Linked DNA regions of Callithrix jacchus. The protein of the gene in region 1 interacts with the protein of each later gene in a biochemical or structural test. Links are inferred from orthologs where the notes say so. Each region holds a gene or a part of one and is shown on either strand. Other genes may lie near its edges.

Region 1 (4,703 bases):
TGGGGTCCGAAGGGCACGGCTTCCGCGCAGATGCAGACCCTGACTTTGGGGTAGATTCCCGCCCTGACACTCAGCCGGCTGATGAGTGTCCTCTCTGTGAATTGTCCAAATCATCGGCCTTTCAGCAGCAAGACATCTGCCCCTTGGGTCCCAAACAGTGCAGACCTGCCAGGCCTGGGGTTGGGGAGGCGGTTCCCCGGTGCCTACTGCTCCCTCCTCGCTTGGCTTCCAGCCTCACCCTCACTCGATCTTCAATGCGAAGCTCCGTGTCTGCCATCTCGCTTGTCTTCTGCAGCCAGCGCCCCCAATTTTGGACAAGTGGGCTGGATGCCCACCAGTTCCTATGTTTTCTCTGTCTCTGAGTGGGTGGGTACAGGGCTGAATCCCCAGGGTCCAGCCAGGATTTTAGAAGAAACAGCCTCCACAACCAAACACCTGCAATATTTCCCTACTCCCAATCTCTGCTCACAGAGATCTTGGTGGCTAACACAGTACAGAAGACAATTTTTGAACCCAGGAACTGCAGTGGAAATAAAAGTATACGATTACTGGAGTTTCTAATTTCTATAAAGCCGCCCCTCTGGAAGGCAGAGAGGACAGAGACCCTCTTAAAAGTCAACTCCATATGCCCCATCATTGATTCCTGGATTTTTCTCTCTTCACCCCTCCCTCCCCACCTCTTGCCCTGTTTGTTTTAGTTACGAAATGCTGTGGGCACCTCGGTTGTGACTGAAAAGTAACCTTGAAACACGCCGGCCTGAATGTCAAGAGACAAATCTCAGCCTCCCAATCGTCGGCCGCGGCTAGAGGGGTTGCGTGCGCCGGGAGCCAGCCTCCCCGCTGAGGGTCGCGGGCGGCGGGACTCGTAGGAAGCGGAGAGCCGAGGCTGCGGGACCGTGCGCCCCGCGCGTTTCCCCGGGCCGCTCAGGGTCTGAACTGTAACAGGGAGGGCCCTCGCAGGAGCAGCGGCGGGCGAGTTGAAGGTGTGTACACTAAATACGACAGCGCTTTGCAGATTGGCTCTGTCATCCGCTTGTTGTTTTGACAGGGAATGAGCGCTGAGAACCACGAAACCCGGCATAAATAAAACCGGCTTTCCTAGGGTTCTGCCGGGCAGGGAGGCTGGACAGGCCCTCCGACAGGAGCACCGAGCGCCCGGCTCTATGGGACGGGGCGGGGGCTGGAGCCCGGAGCCGCCCCGGAGGGTGGTCTCCTCCCAGGTCCCTCCTTCCTCGGGGGACTCGCCGCGTACCCGGGAGGAAAGGGGACTAGACCAGGGATCCCGCGTGCCGGATCACCCGCCTGGCCCGCTCTCCAGGCCCGCCCAGGAGTGCCGGGCGCCGCGGTAGCGGGGCGGGCGGCAGGCGCCGAGGGGCAGGTTCGGGGCGCCCGCGGCAGCTCCCTCTCACCTAGGTGTGAGCTGATTATTCAAATGGGCTGCCCCGGGTCTGGGGATTGGAGGCCCGCGCCAGCGCGCCGCGCTATATCACCAGCCGCCCACGTCACTGCGGCACTTGTCCGCTCCGCGGTCCACACCTCCTCCTCCTCCTCCTCCACCACCTCCTCCTCCTCCTCCTTCTCCTCCTCCTCCACCTCCTCCTTCTCCCTCCTCCTCCTCATACCCCCCCCCACCAGCCCCCGCGCCGCGCGCTTCCCGCCGCCTTGGGGCAGCTCGGCACTGCCAACCTCAGCCGCCACCGGGCAGCCCGTGAGCGCGGCGGCGGCGGAGGGCGCTCCCTACCGCGGGGCGCTGGCCGGGGCCTCCTCCGCTTCTCGCCGCCCCCCCTCCCCCCCACTTCCAACTAACGTCTCCGACCGGCCCTGGGAGAGAGAGGGAGTGGAGCCCAGGGAGAGGGAGTGCGAGAGAGGGAGGGAGGAGGGGACGGTGCCTCGGCTGACTTTTTTTAAAAGAGGGTGGGGGTGGGGGTGATTGCTGGTCGTTTGTTGTGGCTGTTAAATTTTAAACTGCCATGCACTCGGCTTCCAGTATGCTGGGAGCGGTGAAGATGGAAGGGCACGAGCCGTCCGACTGGAGCAGCTACTATGCCGAGCCCGAGGTAAGCGCTCGCCTTTTCCTGGGGGAAGTGGCGCTCGCTCCTTCCCCAACCTCAGGACCGCTTCCCTCGCTGGCACCCTCCTCCCCACCCTAGCCTTTCTGGGCAGCCGCCTTTTCCGCCCTCCTTCGACTCAAATGGGTCTCTTTTTTATACGACACACTGTTAGCCTTGAGATAATATTAACTTTGTGATCAAATATTGACTTGCGGCGCCTCCAAATCCTCTTCGTGGCCGAGCCACGCACTATCCTAACAGAGTTATGTTTGGCAGCGTGCGGCTGGGGAGGGGTGGGAGGTCGGCCGGCGAGGGGGTGGGGAGCTGAGGAGGAGAAGATGGGTAGGAGTTGGGGGCCGAGGTGGAGGCAGAGTCAAAGACTCGTGGACAAAGAGAAAGAAAGTTTGTGCCGGCAAAGCCCAGCCGTGTGTAGTTCGGGTCTCCGTTTCTTCCCTATTGCCCCATTCAGTGCCTCCCTCCGACCCTGCACTCCGCACAGGCTCTGCCTTTCAGTCCCCCTTGGACAAGGGAGGGCGTCCCGGGAGGGAGGTCGGACAGAAGGGGCCCGAAACAGTCTTCGCTGGAGGCAGCTCGAGGCGCCCAGCGCGGTGTCCCGCAGGTTGCTTGCTGCGACTGGAGGTGGCGTCCGGGGACTTCGGGCCTCGGAGCCAGCTCAGTATGCTGGTAGGAGAGTTTGGGGAGACTCTGGCATAGGATAATGCATTTGGGGTTCTGGCTTGGGAGTACTCCATGGGACCCCTGTTCTAGAACCTGGGCGAGGTGGAGAAGAGCTAAGAACGGGCCATATGCTCAGGCAGCCTTCCCAGGGCGATCGATCGTGGCTCTCCTTGGATGAAACAGACTCGGAGTCCGGAGACTGGGCCACAGGGGAGGAAAGGGCTCCCCGGAGGCCTCCCCGGAGGCGGAGGCCTGGGCGGCGGGTGGGAGGTCTGGGCACCCTCCAGCCGCGGTGCTAACGCTGTCGCCTCCCTCTCGGGGCTCTGTCCGCAGGGCTACTCCTCCGTGAGCAACATGAACGCTGGCCTGGGGATGAACGGCATGAACACGTACATGAGCATGTCGGCGGCCGCCATGGGCAGCGGCTCCGGCAACATGAGCGCGGGCTCCATGAACATGTCGTCGTATGTGGGCGCGGGCATGAGCCCGTCCCTGGCAGGCATGTCCCCCGGCGCGGGCGCCATGGCGGGCATGGGTGGCTCCGCCGGGGCGGCCGGCGTGGCGGGCATGGGGCCGCACCTGAGTCCCAGCCTGAGCCCGCTCGGGGGGCAGGCGGCCGGGGCCATGGGCGGCCTGGCCCCCTACGCCAACATGAACTCCATGAGCCCCATGTACGGGCAGGCGGGCCTGAGCCGCGCGCGCGACCCCAAGACCTACCGGCGCAGCTACACGCACGCCAAGCCGCCCTACTCCTACATCTCGCTCATCACCATGGCCATCCAGCAGAGCCCCAACAAGATGCTGACGCTGAGCGAGATCTACCAGTGGATCATGGACCTCTTCCCCTTCTACCGGCAGAACCAGCAGCGCTGGCAGAACTCCATCCGCCACTCGCTGTCCTTCAACGACTGCTTCCTGAAGGTGCCCCGCTCCCCCGACAAGCCGGGCAAGGGCTCCTTCTGGACCCTGCACCCCGACTCGGGCAACATGTTCGAGAACGGCTGCTACCTGCGCCGGCAGAAGCGCTTCAAGTGCGAGAAGCAGCTGGCGCTGAAGGAGGCCGCGGGCGCCGCGGGTGGTGGCAAGAAGGCGGCATCCGGGGCGCAGGCCTCGCAGGCGCAACTGGGGGAGGCCGCCGGGCCGGCCTCCGAGACTCCGGCGGGCACCGAGTCGCCTCACTCGAGCGCCTCCCCGTGCCAGGAGCACAAGCGAGGGGGCCTGGGAGAGCTGAAGGGGACGCCGGCGGCGGCGCTGAGTCCCCCGGAGCCGGCGCCCTCTCCTGGGCAGCAGCAGGCCGCGGCCCACCTGCTGGGCCCGCCCCACCACCCGGGCCTGCCGCCCGAGGCGCACCTGAAGCCGGAGCACCACTACGCCTTCAACCACCCCTTCTCCATCAACAACCTCATGTCCTCGGAGCAGCAGCATCACCACAGCCACCACCACCACCAGCCCCACAAAATGGACCTCAAGGCCTATGAACAGGTGATGCACTACCCGGGCTACGGCTCCCCCATGCCTGGCAGCCTGGCCATGGGCCCCGTCACGAACAAAACGGGCCTGGACGCCTCCCCTCTGGCCGCAGATACCTCCTACTACCAGGGGGTGTACTCCCGGCCCATTATGAACTCTTCTTAAGAAGACGACGGCTTCAGGCCCGGCTGACTCTGGCAGCCCGGATCGAGGATAAGTGAGAGAGCAAGTGGAGTCGAGACTTTGGCGAGGCCGCGTTGCAGAGACGCAAGGGAGAAGAAATCCATCGCGCCCACCTCAACCCCCCAAGACAGCAGTCTCCCCCACCCGCTGCAGCCCTTCCGTCCCAAACAGAGGGCCACATTGATATCCCGCGTTCTATATAAGGAGGAAAACGGGAAAAAATATGAAGTCAAAAAAAAGTGTCCTGTTTCCACTACTGTGTAGACCCCCGCTTCTTGAAGCACCTGCAGATTCTGATATCTTTTGTGTTGTTGTTCTCCT
Region 2 (4,708 bases), on another chromosome or scaffold:
TTTCTTTGGGCCCACTAGCAGTGGTGGTGATGGTAGTTGGTGGTGGTGAGGGGGGGAGGTGTTTAGGAAGAGATTTTATTTTTCTTTTACTGCACTGGGTATTGAGAAGAGCTGTTTTCTGCTCCCTCCGCTCCCCCCACCGTTATTCACATCCACTCAGCAATTCCGATATCCCTCCCCGCATACTCCGCCCAGTCTGTTTTTGCTTTTCTAGAGACTCAGATCCGTTTGAAACCTGTCCGGTCCCTGATCTCTGTGCCAGGCAAAAAAGTTGGGCTGGAGGTCGCACTCTCTGGCTCGGGTCCCCAGCTCCCATCACTTCCCAGCCTCCCGGCTCTCAGCTCGGGGCTCGGGCGGCGCCAGCCCAGTTAGCTCCAGGCCTCGCAGTGTCCGGCATTTGGCGGCGTTTGTTCTAACACAGAAACTGTTTCCAACGGGGGCCTTCCACGTTCGCTCCCTTCCCCGATATCCTGTCTACCTCACACTCGCATCCTCCAGGCCTGATGTGGCCCCAGCTACTTCCCCTAAATGGGATCTGTGATTTGATTCCGGGGTTCGTGTTCCCTACAGTCAGTCTTGGGCTTCACAACTCCAAAAAAAAAAAAAAAACCCAGGCGCCTACCAGAAGCCGGGGTCTCTCACTCAGGGATCATTTACTTATATGTCTAAAGATATTTATAACGGGGTAGGGAATAGAGAAGACACTGAGATTTAGAAAATAGTTTGTTCTTGGACTGGTGTATCTCTCTGTCTTCCCTACATGCCCACATGGCACTCCATCCCTCCCTCTTTTACCCTTTCTGGCCGTCAGCGTGCTCTGGCCCTGTTTGAGAAGGCATAGTAGTGTTTTTGAGTTTCAGTCTTACCTGCTTTCTGCCTCTCATCCACACCCTTATTGCTGGGCTTGAATGTGATAACCCAGTCACTCCCCACTCCTCCACTCCGCCCCCTGCGCTGCTTCAGCATTTACTTAAATATTTTTATCTTCCCATCTTACATTGTATGGGTTTCCTTTCTTCCCTTCCCTAAAAATAAAAAAAACACAAAGGAAAGAGGAAAGGAAATTTCAGAGTAAAGGAACCAGAGAAAAAGAGGGTAAGAGAAGAACTCCCTGTCCATCATTTTAATTATACAATTAGTTCACATGCTCCGGCCCATAATGTATATTTTAAGCGGAGCCCAGTGTCTTTAAAGAACATTCTGGTAATGTCGGAAGCCTGGATTTGTTGCCGGCTCATCCCCCGGTGCAGCAGCGGCCTGTTTTCCTCCCCCTGTTGTGTGTTTTTATTATTTTCCCTCTGGCTTAGATGTGTCAATCATTCTCTCCCTGCCATTGGTTGGAGAGTTTGCGTCAAAAAGTTGCCAGAGAGGCGCTTTCTCAGCAAATCTCCCTGAGAGCGGGACCGACCTCAGCTCCAACTCAGCCTCCACTGTGATTAAAAATAAAAATTGCTAGAGCAGCCCTCACTCACTACATATACTTTGTATGTATTGCAGAAGGGCCCACGCGTGTTTAGAACTCTAGCCGCCTTCCTCATTTTTTGTTCTTAAAAAAAATTTTTTTTCTTTTTGGTTGTGTTTGACTTTTCATGGATGGGTGAAGACTACAAGGTTTCTAACTCAATACTCTTGATTTCTTTTAGGATAGCTGGCTATTTGGAATTTGAAGGATATTTGACTTTTTCTAACCTCCCATGAGGCTGTAAGGTAAGTGTCCGTCTGTCTTGTCTCTCTATATCTACGTGTACTGGTGTCTGTCGGCCATCACCCTATAGTACCGCCAATAGACCGACCGATGCCCCTGTGGGAACGTGGAGTTCTGCAGGCGGATGCATTATTTTCTCTTACAAATTTTGAGGCGTAACAACGATCGTTGCAAAAAAAGAAATGTGATCTGGAAATGAGAGCGGGAGTGGGAGAGAGTCAGAGAGCGTGCTCCTGGGGGTCGTCGCTTCTGCAAAACGTCGTCGAAACGCTGCGAGTGTAATCTGGGTGTTTTGGAAGGTTTTGTTTGTGGTTTTGTTTTTACGTCAACGCCGTTCTGGGCTTCTCCCCGCGATCTTTGCGTTTTGGCCCCTAGATTGGTTTGGGGTCGTTTGGATGGATCCCAAAGACGTTTTTAGAGTCCGAGACAAAACGATGCAGATGTAGCTAGATGTATGGATTGAAACAACGATAATAAAAAGTCAGGCGCCTCCTTGGGCCCGCGCGCCGGAAACCTGGCTGGCTTGCGGGTCTGCCTGGGCCAGGGGCAGCCGCTCGAGCCCCTGCCCGCCCCTGATGAACCTGAGTGGAAACCGGAGCGGATAACCGAGGAGGACGAGAGCGCTGGTTTGTAGTCAGCCCCGGCGCTCGCCGCTCGCTTTTTTTTGGCCTCCTCTCCCTCAGCCTAACGCAGCTCGGTTCTCTTTCTTCCAAAAGCTTCCAGGTCACCTCTTTGTTTTTAAACACCCACCACCCCACAAAACCAAACCACCTTGGGCTGAAATTACGCAGCCCCCTACCCCCACCCCCGGTTGCCCTGGTCCCCGACCCTGGTCACACGGCCGAGAGAACGTGAAGAGTGGTTTTTCAACAGGACTTTGCCGGGCATGGTTCGCGGCCCGCCCCCGTCGCCCTCCGCGCGCACCTGGGGCGGGCAGAAGTGGCAGCGAGTGGCCCCTGCTCCGCCCGAGGCCGCGGCCGGGCCGAGGACAGGAATCCTTCTGCTGGGACCGCGGCCCCTCAGCTGTTCTCTGGCGGGGAGCGTCAGGGCTTGCCCGCGCGCTCGCGCACCCCCTTCCCAGGTTCAGGCTCGGAGACAATGAGGTGTCGTGGGTCTGGACCGGGCGGGGGCGGAGGGGTTCGCCGAGGCCCAGCTTGTGCCCTGGGTCTGCTCAGTGAGAACCATTAGAAGGTCTCTGCCAGCTCCGGTCCCGGGCGACTGGTCGGGCTGCAAACTCCCAAGAAGTCTTCGCTTTGCTGCGTTCAGGTGACTGTTGAAATCGATGCCCGATTTCGGGACACATTTTTGGAAACCCAAGTCCTCCGTCAGAATTCCACTGAGTTGGCTTTTGCCTCCTTCCCAGGCCGAAGTGGTGCGCGGGGAGCGAAGGCCGAGCGGCGCTGACCCTGCGGTGGCTGATTGCTTGGGGAGAGGACAGGGAAGTCGCTCCTTGAAATTCTCCCCAGCATCCTAGGGCTTTTCGGGAAGGAATTTCTCCTGCTCAGTTCGGGACTTTTTCCAGGTGCCAAAAGTTATTAGCAGGGGAGAGGAGCAGGAGAGGAAACTCCTCCCCCCAGAGCAAGGTAGACACCCAGACCTCAGCGCTGCTAACACCGGGGCTTTCTCCCAACGATAATTAATAGTCAAGGCCAACCCTTTTGGCACGTTTCTTCCTCCCTCCCTCGCGGGTGGCAGAGTTGTTTGATTCCCCGAGGCCAGAAACTTTCACTCGAGTTCGCCGGAGAGAGGCCAACGCCCGCCGTTTTCCGCGGTGCCCACACGTCTCCTTTTTCTTTCTTTCCTCCTCTTCGTCGTCTTTCCAGCCTCAGGCCAGTCGCCAGTCCGCGTAGTTTTGTTTCCTTTCCATCATGCAGAAAATTAATCAGCCCGGACGAGAAGCAGAGCGGAGCATGGCTGCCTGTAATTAAGGGACGTGTGCCCCTCGGATTATCTCGTTAGTTTATCAAGAAAACATTTATTATAATTAATTCTCGGACGAGGTAATTATTGTTGAGCGAGGACACAGCAACTGGTAGATGGGCTTCTTGGAAGAAAAAAAAAAAAAACAAGGCGAGGGGGGAGGGGGAAGCGACAGATTGCAGGAATTGACCGTTAGATATAAGGCTGCGCGGGCGACGCGGGCAGTGGAGCGGGACCTCGGGCACCAGGCCTGCGGGGCTGCGGGGCTTCCGGCAGGGACACGAGGCCCAGGAACTCGCTCCCGGAGGTACGGTCGCCGACCGGCTGCCTGGACTCACCGCATGACCGTGGTCAGCTTCTAGGTATGAGTTCTCCAGAGGCCACCTCGTAAGCAGTCATAGTGAGGCGTAGATTTTGGAAAAGTTATTTCTTTTCCCCATTCTGGACTCTGATTCGGGAGGAAAAGGGTTTTAAAAGTTAGATGAAAGGGCCCACGCCTTCTAAGCAAAGTGCAGACCTAGGCCGGCTGTGGAGAGAATCTCTTAGTTTTGTTTTTTGGTTTTCCTCTCTTCCTTTTAAAGGTGGATCCGGGAGCAAAAGTGAAAATAGTCTCTTCCAAGAATTTTAGCCATTTTGCAATGGTAAGGGCAGAGGAGCTCCTGGAAGGATCTCAGCCCTGGTGCTTTTTCTGTCGGTTACTGCTTTTTATGTTGGAATGTGCTACTTTATTGTACGATGTGTCAGGCATTTCTAATTGGGTGAGAGCTCGACATGTAAGAACATTTCCATATTTCTCATGGGTACATCTGATATGATTTTACGTTTCTCTATAGTACTACAGTTCAGGACTTTGCAAGGTTGTACGATTAAACAAAAAGTTTCCAGTTTAGAGGCTGTTTAAACACATATATGACTGCTTTAAAATACAGTCATATATATGTTTAAACAGCCTCTAAACTGGAGATTTTTGTTTATTTTCACAGCCTCCAAAGAACAGCATTTTGAAAGGAAAAGACCATGCAAAAATATAAAGTCTGTATTGTGGGGGCAACTAAATTAGTTTTACTGAGGATAATACAAACT
Region 3 (4,895 bases), on another chromosome or scaffold:
CCCTATTCATTTGGCACCCAAATGTCATATAGCCGGAACTGGGGCTTATAAAGTTTACTGTTTTATAACTTTTAAAAGGAAAGACGGCATCAGTGTAAGCAGTCGGTAAATGTGCAAATCTCTAGTTGCGCTTTAGCTGCTCTGAGGAGTTTCCCAATCGAGCTAGGATGGGGTAAGTACCTTCCATTTGTAGCAAATTAATTGTAGCAAAAGAAGCCAACTGGGTCCAGGGTGAAGAGTGGGGAAGGGGTGCTGGGACGGGTTAAGGGCAGAGGGTTTGGGGACCACAGCCAGGCAGAGCAGCGTCTCCAGCAAGTGGAGGCCTAGGACAGCCTTAGGAAAGAGGCAGGGTCTGTGTGGCCCGAGGGCAGCTAACAAAGCCCTGGGCTTTTCCTCCTTCTTTCTCACTCTGTCTCTCTGTTTTGTACCCAGCAAGTTAACTTGGTTTCCTCAGAGATGGTCAGGGTGGCCTCGGGCTTTGGAACCGCCTGCAGCTTTTCCCACCTTCTGCCCTGAACTTTGTGATGGGTCAGAGTTAGGAAGGCGATGGGCCAGTGTTGGTCTGAGGTCTCCCTGCACAGGTCATCTGCTCAGGTAGCCTCAGACCTACGGGCTTCCAGGACTGAACAGACAGACAGAAAAGCAGACAGAGCCACTCACTATTTGGCACAAACCAGACCAAGAGAACTTACAATAGAAAGTTTATTTTTTGTTCCAGTCAGTATTTTTTCCTTAAAAACAAATACCAAAAAACAAAACAAAACAAAAAGCTGATCACAGTTTGCTTAAAACAGCCAGACTTGGACAATATTTGTAACTTTGTTCACAAAAACATACATCACTGAAGCTGCGCTTATAAGAGCCACTTCCAGAGTTCGTGCAAAGGGTCCTACAAAGGCACGCAGGGACACACCGCTTGGAGTCACAGTTTTCGTCACAGTCACTAGTCACTACATGTTGAACAAGTCGTGTCTCATCAAGTCACCTCTACAACAGCATTAATTACACAAGGAATATAGGTAGTTTGAATAAAAATATCTTTAACAGCTTGGAGCTATTGAGACAGGAACACTTCCACGCACATGCACAGTTAAACAACTTGAGTGCAACACACAACATTGGCACTAAACGAGATTGAAGGGGGAATTTTTGTGTGTTTTTTTCTCTTTTTTTTTTGTTATAGTTACTTCAAGTAACACAGCTTGCTTCATATAAATAAGTTAAAACATCTATTTTTTTTTTTTTCAAGACAAAGCCATTCAGGACAAAGAGATGAACAGAAAGCAGATCTACTTATACAGGCGCTATAATGGCAATAAACAGGCTCATGATTAAAAGATGAATTAGGGCAACGAGAACAGGGCTTCTTCACAGAAGGAACACAAGGGAGTTTCAGAAAGTCACCTTTGTACTGACACTATGCGGGATCCGCTAATACTGCTCAGTACTTTAAACGCTCAGATATTCAGGGGCGGAAGGCCCCTCCTGCCGCGGCCATGCTCATGCTTTTCAGCTTATTATCTTTTTTCCACTTCATTCTCCGGTTTTGGAACCAGATTTTAATTTGTCTCTCGGAGAGGCAAAGAGCATGTGCTATTTCAATCCTTCTTCGGCGGGTCAGGTAGCGGTTGAAGTGGAACTCCTTCTCTAGCTCCAGGGTCTGGTAGCGCGTGTAGGCCGTCCGGGCCCTTTTGCCTTCCGGGCCGCCTATGTTGTCTGCAACAGAAAAGTCAGCGGTTTAGCCACCAACTCCTCACCCCCTGGCTTCCAAAGTCCGCCAGGGGGACAAGCTTGCGTCCTGAATAGGGAACCCAGGCGAAAGGCTCAACAAGTTCTCCATACCAGCCCGCACACCCCTCCCGAATTTCCTTCCCTCTTCCTTTCTAGAGAGAAAACAATACAATTTGGACCCTGGGAACAATCCGCCCATCTGAGGCTGGGGCCATGTCCGGAGGACTCCGGCTTTCCCTGGCCTCACTCCTGCCCTCTCCACCCTGCCCCGGGCGCCCCGACTGGGAGGCACAGCTCTCCCAGGCTGCCCACCGCTCCGAAGCCCAGGAAGCACGACCCTTTCCTGAGCGCCCAAGTGGCCTTCGGGTCACCCTCCCTCAAAGTTCCAGTCCCTCAAGCCGCCTCCAGTTTACAGCCTGCAGGCTTGGGGCGCCTGCTTTCTTTTTCTTCCCTTTCCTTCTCTCTCCCTACTGCCCCCAAACTTCAGAATCCTGCCGGCTCTCGCCTCGATTTTTCCCCCCAAGCCCCTTTTCCGGGGCTCTAATTAGTAACGCTGTTTCCCCAGCGTAGCCCCCTTCATAAATCATCCGCCCTGACAAGCCCGATTCACGGCTCCTACTGCCATCCTCTACCTCTCTGTGCCTTGCTCGGCTGGCCTGACCCAGGAGCGCGTTCCACAGCGTGGGGTTCAGAGGGTTTTTTTTTTTTTTCTTCCTTCCCCTTTCAGTGCCTAAACTGGCCCAGCCAGCGCCCGATTCCCCCATTATTTATGAGCGCGGAGTGTTTGCAAGGAAGAGGAGGAAGGAGGAAGGCAGGAGAAGGAGAATGGCAAAGAGAGGCTCCGCAGGGCTGGGAGAAATGAGACCAGAAGAGAGACTGGGAGAGGGTGGCAGAGGAAAGAGAGGGGATCGAGAGCCGCGTCCCCCACGGTAGCGTGGATTTAGAAAAAGGCTGGCTTTACCATGACTTATGTGCAGCTTGCGCATCCAGGGGTAGATCTGGGGTTGGGCGGGCGGCGCCGGGCTCGGCTCGCTCTGCGCACTCGCCTGCTCGCTGCTGGCAGGGGCGTCCTCCTCTGCTCCGGACGCCGTGCCAACCCCCTCTCTGCTGCTGATGTGGGTGCTGCCGGCGTTGGCCGAGGCGCCGCTGGAGTTGCCCAGGGAGTTTTTCCCGCCGTGGTGGCTGTCGCCGCCGGGCGAGGGGGCCACGGCGGAGCAGGGCAGCGGGTCAGGCGGAGGCGAGTGCGTGGACGTGGCCGGCTGGCTGTACCTGGGCTCGGCGGGCGCCGCGCTGGCGCCGGCCGCGTAGCTGCGGGCGCGCTCTCCGGAGCCAAAGTGGCCGGACCCCGAGCGGCCGACGCTGAGATCCATGCCATTGTAGCCGTAGCCGTACCTGCCGGAGTGCATGCTCGCCGAGTCCCTGAATTGCTCGCTCACGGAACTATGATCTCCATAATTATGCAACTGGTAGTCCGGGCCATTTGGATAGCGACCGCAAAATGAGTTTACAAAATAAGAGCTCATTTGTTTTTTGATATGTGTGCTTGATTTGTGGCTCGCGGTCGTTTGTGCGTCTATAGCACCCTTGCACAATTTATGATGAATTATGGAAATGACTGGGACATGTACTTGGTTCCCTCCTACGTAGGCACCCAAATATGGGGTACGACTTCGAATCACGTGCTTTTGTTGTCCAGTCGTAAATCCTGCCTGATGACCTCTAGAGGTAAACTCGTGCACTAATGGGGGAGTTGGGTGGAGGCGAGAGGGTTGGCGCGCGTGCCCCGGGCGCGTGCCCGCTGCTCGTTGCCGCCGTTCAGTCGGACTCGAGCGCCACCCGCTGGAGTCAGGGCGCATCGCCCCGCTTCCGACCCGGGGTTGCAAGGGCTGGGGTCGAATTGAGGTTACAGCCCATTATGGCAAAATTATTGCATTTCCCTCGCAGTTCCATTAGGATGTACCAATTGTTAGGCCGTCAGCTGCCGATCGCGCGCCGGGCGAGGATACAGAGGATTGGGGGGAGGTGGTGACCTGCATTTTATTTACAACAACTTTATTTCCCCCGTTTTGCAGCCCCTCTTATTTTTGTGTCGAGGTTGGGGTCGACTCTGCCCGTCCTGCCGGCAGCTCTGAATTTTGAAAATACAGATACCACCTTTGGGGAAGGGGGAAAGCCATTTAGCCAATTGGAGAAATAAATCCTGCCCGCAGCAGCAGCAGCAGCAGCAGCTACAATTACGGCTCTGTTTTTGCTAGCGCATGAGGGACAGTGTCCCTGCCGCTCTTAAATGACAGGCGTCTATTAAAGATAGCTTTTGTGTAGTGTTTCTCCAAAGCGAGGTCAAATTCCATACAATTTTATAACCGTAGTTGATTTTTCTTTCGTGTGAGTATGGTTTTCATGTCATTAGTTTGCTATTTGATTTGCTTACGTATCCAGCTTGGAAAGCCTTCATCACAGGGTCTGGTTCCTCGAGCCAGCCGGGCCCCAAGTTGGAGGGTTCTCGTTGAACTCAGCGAGTGGGCCCAGGCTCCTTGCAGCCACAGAGGCTGCTTAGGGTCTGAGGATCCGCGGGCCGGGTTACTGGGGTCTTGCTTAGACCTCCAGGAGTGAAATGAGGGCGATAATGGAAGCATTTCGTGGCAGTGCCTAGTATCTCCGTAGTTATTTTCCAGGGCTCCGAAAGACGCAAGTAAATCACAAATACAGCTGAGAGGCAAGCGGAGTCTCCCCGCTGGAGGCCCGGTGTTGCAGGCGCCCCTGGTACCTCTGGAAGCCAGGACTCTGGAGGCTCCCATGGCCCCGGGCCCCTCGTTGGGTCTGAACGCTGCTGTGGTGGCCACGCGGGCGCTATCCGAGGGAGGGAGCGGGAATCCGGAGCCGGGAGCCTGAGGGAGCCCAGACGGTCCCCGGACTGTACTGTTCCACTCGCGCCCAGGTTAGCTCGCCTCGTCTGGGGCAGCTTCTCTTCCACTGACGGTTGCGCAAGCAGGGCCGAGAGACTGGGCTCTGTTGGGGCCCCCTTTGTTCCTCCAGCTTCCTGTTCTGGGAGGCGCCCTGGGAGGCCGAGACAACGCCAGGACCCAGCACTTAGACCCCCTCTTTCCACCGGCCAGAGATGATTTGATGATGCCCTTCGGGACCTCCTGGCGAGGGACCTAGGC

Evidence for each region.
Region 2: the proteins of FOXA2 (region 1) and OTX2 form a complex in vitro, tested with the Homo sapiens proteins (2 studies listed by BioGRID). The link is inferred for Callithrix jacchus from reciprocal best matches to the Homo sapiens genes FOXA2 and OTX2.
Region 3: the proteins of FOXA2 (region 1) and HOXA5 form a complex in vitro, tested with the Homo sapiens proteins (2 studies listed by BioGRID). The link is inferred for Callithrix jacchus from reciprocal best matches to the Homo sapiens genes FOXA2 and HOXA5.

What each region holds. Positions count from the first base shown.
Region 1 is NC_133506.1:29,610,359-29,615,061, reverse strand, and holds the start of FOXA2 (hepatocyte nuclear factor 3-beta), read left to right. Parts: upstream 1-1,689; 5' UTR 1,690-1,970; coding exon 1,971-2,057; intron 2,058-3,062; coding exon 3,063-4,364; 3' UTR 4,365-4,703. UniProt on the Homo sapiens protein: Transcription factor that is involved in embryonic development, establishment of tissue-specific gene expression and regulation of gene expression in differentiated tissues.
Region 2 is NC_133509.1:91,472,199-91,476,906, reverse strand, and holds the start of OTX2 (homeobox protein OTX2), read left to right. Parts: upstream 1-1,380; 5' UTR 1,381-1,484; intron 1,485-1,643; 5' UTR 1,644-1,707; intron 1,708-2,565; exon of another isoform or gene 2,566-3,705; intron 3,706-3,851; exon of another isoform or gene 3,852-3,987; intron 3,988-4,007; exon of another isoform or gene 4,008-4,266; intron 4,267-4,708. UniProt on the Homo sapiens protein: Transcription factor probably involved in the development of the brain and the sense organs. Can bind to the bicoid/BCD target sequence (BTS): 5'-TCTAATCCC-3'.
Region 3 is NC_133512.1:30,952,245-30,957,139, reverse strand, and holds HOXA5 (homeobox protein Hox-A5), read right to left. Parts: upstream 3,329-4,895; 5' UTR 3,255-3,328; coding exon 2,693-3,254; intron 1,717-2,692; coding exon 1,466-1,716; 3' UTR 685-1,465; downstream 1-684. UniProt on the Homo sapiens protein: Sequence-specific transcription factor which is part of a developmental regulatory system that provides cells with specific positional identities on the anterior-posterior axis. Also binds to its own promoter.